Kluyveromyces lactis: one gene and its partner. Each later gene encodes a partner of the first gene's protein in a complex. Links are inferred from orthologs where the notes say so. Each region holds a gene or a part of one and is shown in the gene's direction. Other genes may lie near its edges.

Region 1 (4,410 bases):
AACCAGCAACAACACTCTATTTTAGTCTGCAATGGTCCAGGTTGTTAAATTAAGTGCATTATCCAAGAAACGTGCAGTCGATGAGGAATCTGATCTTGACATATCAAGTACAGACTCAAATATTTCAGACCAAGAAAACGGTCAAGAGGAACAAGAAATCATCAACATCGATTTTGATTTCTTCAATGGTAATCCCGACGTTGATTTCCATGCTTTGAAGAATCTGATGCGTCAGTTGTTTGGACCACAGGAATCGAACAGAATTCAACTAAGTGAATTGGCAAATTTAATCTTGGACTCACCAACTACTACCATCAAAACCGATGGTAAGGAGTCTGACCCATACTGTTTCCTATCATTTATCGATTACAAGGCCAACAAAGATAGTGATTATGCCAAATATCTTCGTAAAGTTGACCCCAAGCTAGCTACTTTCCTACAAACTATAGATCAATCGGAGAAGACTTGTTCGTTAGTCTTGAGTGAAAGATTGATTAATATGCCACCAGAAGTTGTGCCGCCATTGTACACTATCACATTAGAAGATGTGAAGCTTGCGCTTGGGGATGATAAAAACTATGATTTCTACCTAATCGTTTCAAGGAAGTACGAAGTGAATTTTGATATGGACGAAGACGATCTAACATCGAACCAAGCTGTCCGCAAGAAGGTAAGACAAACAAACGAAGTAGACTATTTCCATGAAGAAGATCGTTTCCTTGAAAAGCTAGCCAAAGTCCATGTGGATTCCGAGGCGAGAAAGGGTCTTATTACATCGTACATGGTTTTGGACCATGCTGGACTAATTAAATCCATCGAAGATCTAGATGCGGCCATCAAGACCTGGTGAGTGATGTAAATGTTCAGTAGTTACATTGAGGAAGGTGATGATGGTATGTGGATTAATCCCGTTCTGGGAACCCAACAATTAACGCACGTGACCTGATCTTTAGTTACCCTCCTTACATGATTTCGGCCTCCCAAAAGAAAAAAAAATCTTTCAAGGAACAAAAAAATTGCTGAACAACATGAAATACGTACTTATATAGTAGAAATCGAGAAAACAAGCCGTAATACGGTAACAGAACAGGACCGTGAGAACACTATTCGACTCAGTTTCAAAAGTACCTGACACAGAAAAGCCTTGTTTGGTTGGACGATCCTGTTGTTTGTACAGAAGCGTGCTGTTTCCGAGACAAGCCCTCGCTAAAAGAAAAATCAGAGGACCCAGTTTCCTTTTTTTTTTTTTGGATATTTTCCTATCACTTGCCATTCAGACCGAAAGTTATATTTTTTCAACGTGACAGATATTCACAGAACATCTAATAGAAAGTAAGGATTTCAAGGCGATGAGCAGTGCAAGCAAAGGGAATGCTACTGGAAGTAAGAGCCCAGAGCAGCTCTTAGAGGAGAGACGGCACTTGCTAGTACAATTGTACTGTATCTCACAAATTACCGAGTTAAAAAACGTGGAGAATCATGAGAGAATAGGGAAGGAGATAGAAAAGTTTTTAGATCAACATACCTTGATCAAGGACAAGCCTATAGATATTAATGCATTGCCTAAGTTTAGGCCGAGAGACGTGTCGTCAGATAGGAAGCTGAATAACAGGAGTAAGAGTTCTTCACCGTCAGAAGTGAAACGAGAATTGAAGAAACAGCGGTCGAAAGACGTGTCGCCAAGTGGAAGCGAGGAACATGATGTGGATACGCAGACACTCCCGCAGTCTCAAACAAGGGTAGTTCCACGAGTTCAGTCACAGCAGTCAATTCAGCAAAGTTCAAGGCAATCTATGGTGCAAGCGCAGTCATCTCGACAGCTGCAGCAGCAACAACTGCAAAAGCAGCGATCGGTGTCTCCCACACAGAAGCTGCCGATAACACATAATAATGTTCCTCCTGTGGTAGTTCAGGCACATATGGAACCGAAATCTGTCCAATATCCGGAGACCCAATCAAAGCCAAGTACTTCTGGAAAGCGTTTGTTAGATGAGGAACAACAAGATATTTCCGAAAATCAAATAAGTAAAAGGCAACGGCTTGATAGTGGAAACCTATCTAATTCTACCGCTGCACGTAACGCTGCAACAATGGAAATTCCGCCTCATCCTTATTCTCAGATGATAGACATCTCACAATTGCATGCTGACCCAACACCAATTGGGGTGAAAGAACCTCAACCCTATATTATAGAATCTATTATCAACAATGTATCAAAGGAAGAGCGTAAGACGTTTTTCGAAGATGACATAAATGTGAAAGAGGCGGTATACATGATTACGAAAGAGAACGCGCCAACCAAGTTGGCAAAGGGTATGCCCATTCAAGAAATCAAATACTTATCCCAGACTTTGCCCTTGCTGAGATTGATACCACAATCTCAAAAAGCATTGACGACTGATCTGATTAATACTGCATTGAATGAAAGACGAATCACTGTAGTAGCATCAAGGATAGAGGAATTGAGAAGGCTGAATCTCTGGTCACTTAGACAACCAAGAAAATTTATCGATCCCGTTACCGCTTCACAACCTGTAACTCATCATAATGTGTTGATTGAAGAAGCAAAATGGATGCGTGAAGACTTCCGTGAATCGTTGAATTATAAGATAGCCATGTGCACTCAAATGGCACAGGCAGTTATGGAATTTTGGACTTATGGTAAAGTATGCTGTATCAATTGTAAAAGTATTCCACCGCCATCAAAGGACATAGAAGATATTGCTTCCTCCCAAGATATGGGAACAAAAATCAGTACAGTTGAGCCAGAACAAAAAGATAAAGAATCAAACACAAGTCCTGATCAATCCAACGATGATGGGTCTTCTAAAATTGCTGAAGATGTGGAGATGTCAGAGGATGGTGTAAAATCAAGTACCGGTTTAACTGATGGGAGTGAAGCGGTGGAAGAGAAGTCTGAAAATGGTATCAAAGAGGGGGACAAGGAAACTGATAAAAACTCATCTGAAGAGCCTACCATAGACATACAAAAGTTACTAAAGAGAGTTAACCCCAAAGATGAAATCGTCGCTCCATCTCTTCCGGTTACCTCCATGGAAGTTTATTTAGCTAAGAAATCATCCTCTCCCTTCAGGAATTACATTGATATAAAGGAATTATCAACACTGGGAGCAGCCATTTCAAACTCACTCCCTTTGTATGGTCTTTTGGACGAAAAGAATCTCGATTCTAGCAGACCATTGCCCTTTGAACCGGTTTCAAAGGCAATTTCTCCTCTTGACGAGGACCATTTCATGAAATTAGTAGAAAAGCAATTTGTTGACGAAGAACCATCTCTAGTTCCTTTATCAAAACGACGTGGTATGTTTTATGGAAATAGACGTAGCCATTATCTTCGCCCTCCTAATGCGCCATCATTACGCTATTTGAAATTTCGTACACCCACCATCTGGTTACCTGAAGATGATCAGGAGCTTGTCAAAAATATAAACCAGTATGCCTATAACTGGGACCTCATTAGTTCTCAGATGTCCAATCATCACAAAAGAGAATATGTTTCAAACATCGAACGTAGAACCCCTTGGCAATGCTTTGAGCGGTTCGTTCAACTAAACGAAAAGTTCAACATTGCAGATATGAAGGGTCCAAAGGCTCATAATGCACAAATATGGTTGTACGAAGCTCATAAATTACAGCAGCAGCAAAAAAGGAGAATATCTCCCCTTGGTGTGGGATCGGAATCCATACAACGAGGACATAGGCGTTTACGCTGGGCAAGTATGTTTGAGGCAATGAGAAAGTGCATTAAAAAAAGAGAAAACGCACCCAGACCAAATCCTTCGCAGCCGCGTAAACCTTTTGATGTTAAGAATATGAGTGTTCCAACCCCTCAAGAAATGTCAGACTTAAAAGCTCAGCGTGATGAGGCCTTGAGAAGGGATATGCAAATAAAACGTGCTGCCAAACAAAGGATGCAGATGGCTCAATTGCAGCAAGGAAAGCTTCCTCTCACTACAGCATCAAGTCCGAATTTGCCTATGGCAAATAATCCTAACTCAAAGGATTCAAGAATTAGGTCTAAGCAGTCCACTCCCCAGAGTGCACCACCACTAGGTGAAAAAGAAAAGGTTACAACTCAAACTCCCACACAGAGAAATACGAAACCGGCTAATAAACGTGAAATCATTGAAGGATATGCCAAAAAAATACTTTTTCAGAAACCCAATTTCACTCCAGAACTTGCTCTAATGGCTGCTGAAAATATTTACAGGAGCTTGCCATTGTCTGATCAACAAAGGAAAACTGTAATTTATGACAATGTTGCACAACCGAAAGTGCGTCCACCAGAGATGAAACATTCTTCTCCGACGCCTCAAGAGATTTTGCAACGTGCTCAGAAAAAGTGAATACAATTAATAATATATAATCAGTTCATAATCACAACATTGA
Region 2 (2,848 bases), on another chromosome or scaffold:
TCGATACAAATTTCATCAATTTCTCTATTCAAAAGAAGATTGACATAGTGAAAGGTATGATGGATTGTCTTTTGGCCAAGTGTAACATATTGATAACAGACTGTGTGATGGCTGAATTAGAGAAGTTGGGTCCCAAGTATCGTATAGCGTTGAAGCTAGCTCGTGATCCGCGAATCAAGAGGCTAAGTTGTTCGCATAAGGGTACTTATGCGGATGACTGTATTGTTCATAGAGTGTTGCAGCACAAGTGTTACATTGTTGCCACGAACGATGCTGGTTTAAAGCAGAGAGTGAGGAAAGTGCCGGGGATCCCATTGATGAGTGTTGGAGGACACTCCTATGTGATTGAGAAGCTACCGGGTGTGTTCTAGGATAATATAAAACTGGGATTTAGCATTATACATAGCGGTATGAGTATGTATATATATATATAACTTTTCTTAACAGGATAATAATTGTACATTAGCACAAACGGCTTCTCGCTTATGTCTGTTTCAAGCCTTTTACCAAGTCTGGGTCCCTTCCTGGGGAGACAGAACCTAATTCTACAGGAGATGCGGCAATGGTTTCACCACCGTATTTCTTTCTCAAGTATTGTTCCAATGCAAGTGTGTTCCTGGAATTTGCCTTATAAGCAATCCCAACGATATCACCAACAATGGGAATCAACCCTAATAGGAAATCGATACAGATGTTCCCCAAGAGCTCTGCCTGCAAGGGCACAGGCAAACCACCTTGAATCTTCTGTGCTTCATGGAACACTGTCCATGACAAGTACAAACATATTAGGTCACCGACCACTGGCAAAAGTCCAATGATACCGAGCCATCCAACTCTCATCCCAAATATCTTAAACATCATATCAAGCCTGTAAGCTCTTTTCCTAACCCGTTGCAACACTGTTCTGTCATTTAATGGGACATAATCTGGAATTGCTTTCTTTAGCTTCTTATGCACAACTTGGCTATTTCCAGTCCAAAACGACTTCTTCACAAAAGTAACTTCCTCATAGTACGGATCCTCACCCTCACCAATCTTAATGTCGCCAAATATCTTGTTGGAAATCTTGCGTAGAATAAATGAATAGAACACCATGGTTTAGATTCAAGGTAAAGTTAACAAAAGAAACTGTCGTCGCCTATAATCGTGGTAAATTCGGTCTTTAACAGAGTTCAAATAAGCTCATATGCCAGGACTAGCTTTTCTGAATAATAAATACTCCCAAAAACTAATGGAAACATGTTTGTGAAGTACCAAACCATGTCCCTTTATCATGACTTTTTCTATTTCAAAGCCTTTAAAGCCAGGGAAAGCTTTAAAGCAATCTGGCAAACAATTTTCCATTGAAATAGCAAAGATACGTATGTAAGAGAAGAAGCTGTACAAAGAACGCTAGGCAGGCGCAGTTAGCATTTTGGAAGGCTGTATGGAAGAATGAGTAGCATTAACGAACGACCACAGGACCCTTCGAGTGCGTTGGAGCAAGCTACACAGGATGTTGCGAACTTGAAATCAGAGTTCCATCATATCATGGATGAAATGCAGGTAGCAGATAAAACCCTGGTGAGCTCAAGAGAGCAGTACCTACGGGAGGATTACGTGCTTCATAAACTTGTGAAACAGCATGGTTCGTTGACCAAGGACCCTAAAGAGGGATCCATTACTGAGACGGTAGAAAAAGAGATGAAGCGATGCGGCGATTTGCAACAACAGAAATGCATATTAGCCAATACAGCATTGTATCTAGTAACGAAACATTTGAGCAAGATCAAGGCCAACATCGAGTCACTTGAGGAAGATGGGTTACTTGCACCCTTGGATGATGAGCTTTCGGATAAGAAGGCTGGATCTGTTGATTTAGGAGCTGGAATCGCTGGCCTTGGTAACGGAACGGCTGGATCAGGTTCCAGTTCTGGTAGGAAACGGCCAGCCTCTTCATCATCAGCGAACGGGAAAGGACAGAAGAGAAAACAGCAGAAGAAAGAGAGATCTAGGTCTCATCAGCGTGCAGGAACAGTGTCTCGTGACGTGAGTCCTAACGCTGGTATCGGTAGAGATCCGACTTTCGATGCTTTGGCATATAACGATGATTTGTTCAAGATGAACCAAGGCGGCGAAGAAGACGACAAGCAGTTGTACTGTTTCTGCCAAAGAGTATCATACGGTGAGATGGTGGCGTGCGATGGTCCAAACTGTAAATACGAATGGTTCCATTACAGTTGTGTCAACTTAACGGAACCTCCAAAGGGTCAGTGGTATTGTCCAGAATGTCGACTGGAAATTGCTAATCAGAAACTAAATAAGAAGAAGAAGAAGCAATGATCAACGAAGGTTGGTATGACCCATTCATGGTCTTCACATTTCTTCACTCCTGCCGCTCGTATATATATATATATATCCTCATATGTAAATATTTTCAATTCTATCATGTAATGTATTATTATAATTAGCATTTATTCGATTCTTATTCTATATTCGACTTTGACATCTTGTGCTCTTTGTGAAGAGATGCAGAAAAACAGGCGAAAGCTATCGAAATAGTGGTCTCTGAAAGCGCACCAATAGGCAACATGGCTACACTATTTGGAAAGACGTTGTCTCAGGTTCATCCGAAGCTTCGAACAAATGGTATTGGTATTGCAACTAACCATAGACGCATTTCGCTAGGGTTCGATTTAGTGAGCAGAGACAAGAAGAATCCGTTATTACGGAAGTATTTAAGGAAACGCAGACATCGTGGGTTGAGGCGAGGGTTGCATCCAGATGAGCAAGGTAGTTATCACACTTTGGATGAGGATTTTGGAAGCAGTGTTAGAGAACCGTCTGTTTACGACGATTTAGACGAAGT

What was found.
Region 2: EAF1 (region 1) and YNG2 share a complex: the UniProt entries of both Saccharomyces cerevisiae proteins name them as parts of the nuA4 histone acetyltransferase complex. The link is inferred for Kluyveromyces lactis from reciprocal best matches to the Saccharomyces cerevisiae genes EAF1 and YNG2.

The regions. Positions count from the first base shown.
Region 1 is NC_006041.1:1,912,900-1,917,309, forward strand, and holds EAF1 (Eaf1p), read left to right. Parts: upstream 1-1,349; coding exon 1,350-4,367; downstream 4,368-4,410. Other genes in the region: protein-transporting protein BCP1, read left to right, coding at 32-850. UniProt on the Saccharomyces cerevisiae protein: Component of the NuA4 histone acetyltransferase complex which is involved in transcriptional activation of selected genes principally by acetylation of nucleosomal histone H4 and H2A. The NuA4 complex is also involved in DNA repair.
Region 2 is NC_006037.1:630,046-632,893, reverse strand, and holds YNG2 (histone acetyltransferase YNG2), read left to right. Parts: upstream 1-1,434; coding exon 1,435-2,322; downstream 2,323-2,848. Other genes in the region: rRNA-processing protein FCF1, read left to right, coding at 1-371; KLLA0_A06996g (DUF4112 domain-containing protein), read right to left, coding at 484-1,095; KLLA0_A06952g (uncharacterized protein), read left to right, coding at 2,571-2,848. UniProt on the Saccharomyces cerevisiae protein: Component of the NuA4 histone acetyltransferase complex which is involved in transcriptional activation of selected genes principally by acetylation of nucleosomal histone H4 and H2A. The NuA4 complex is also involved in DNA repair.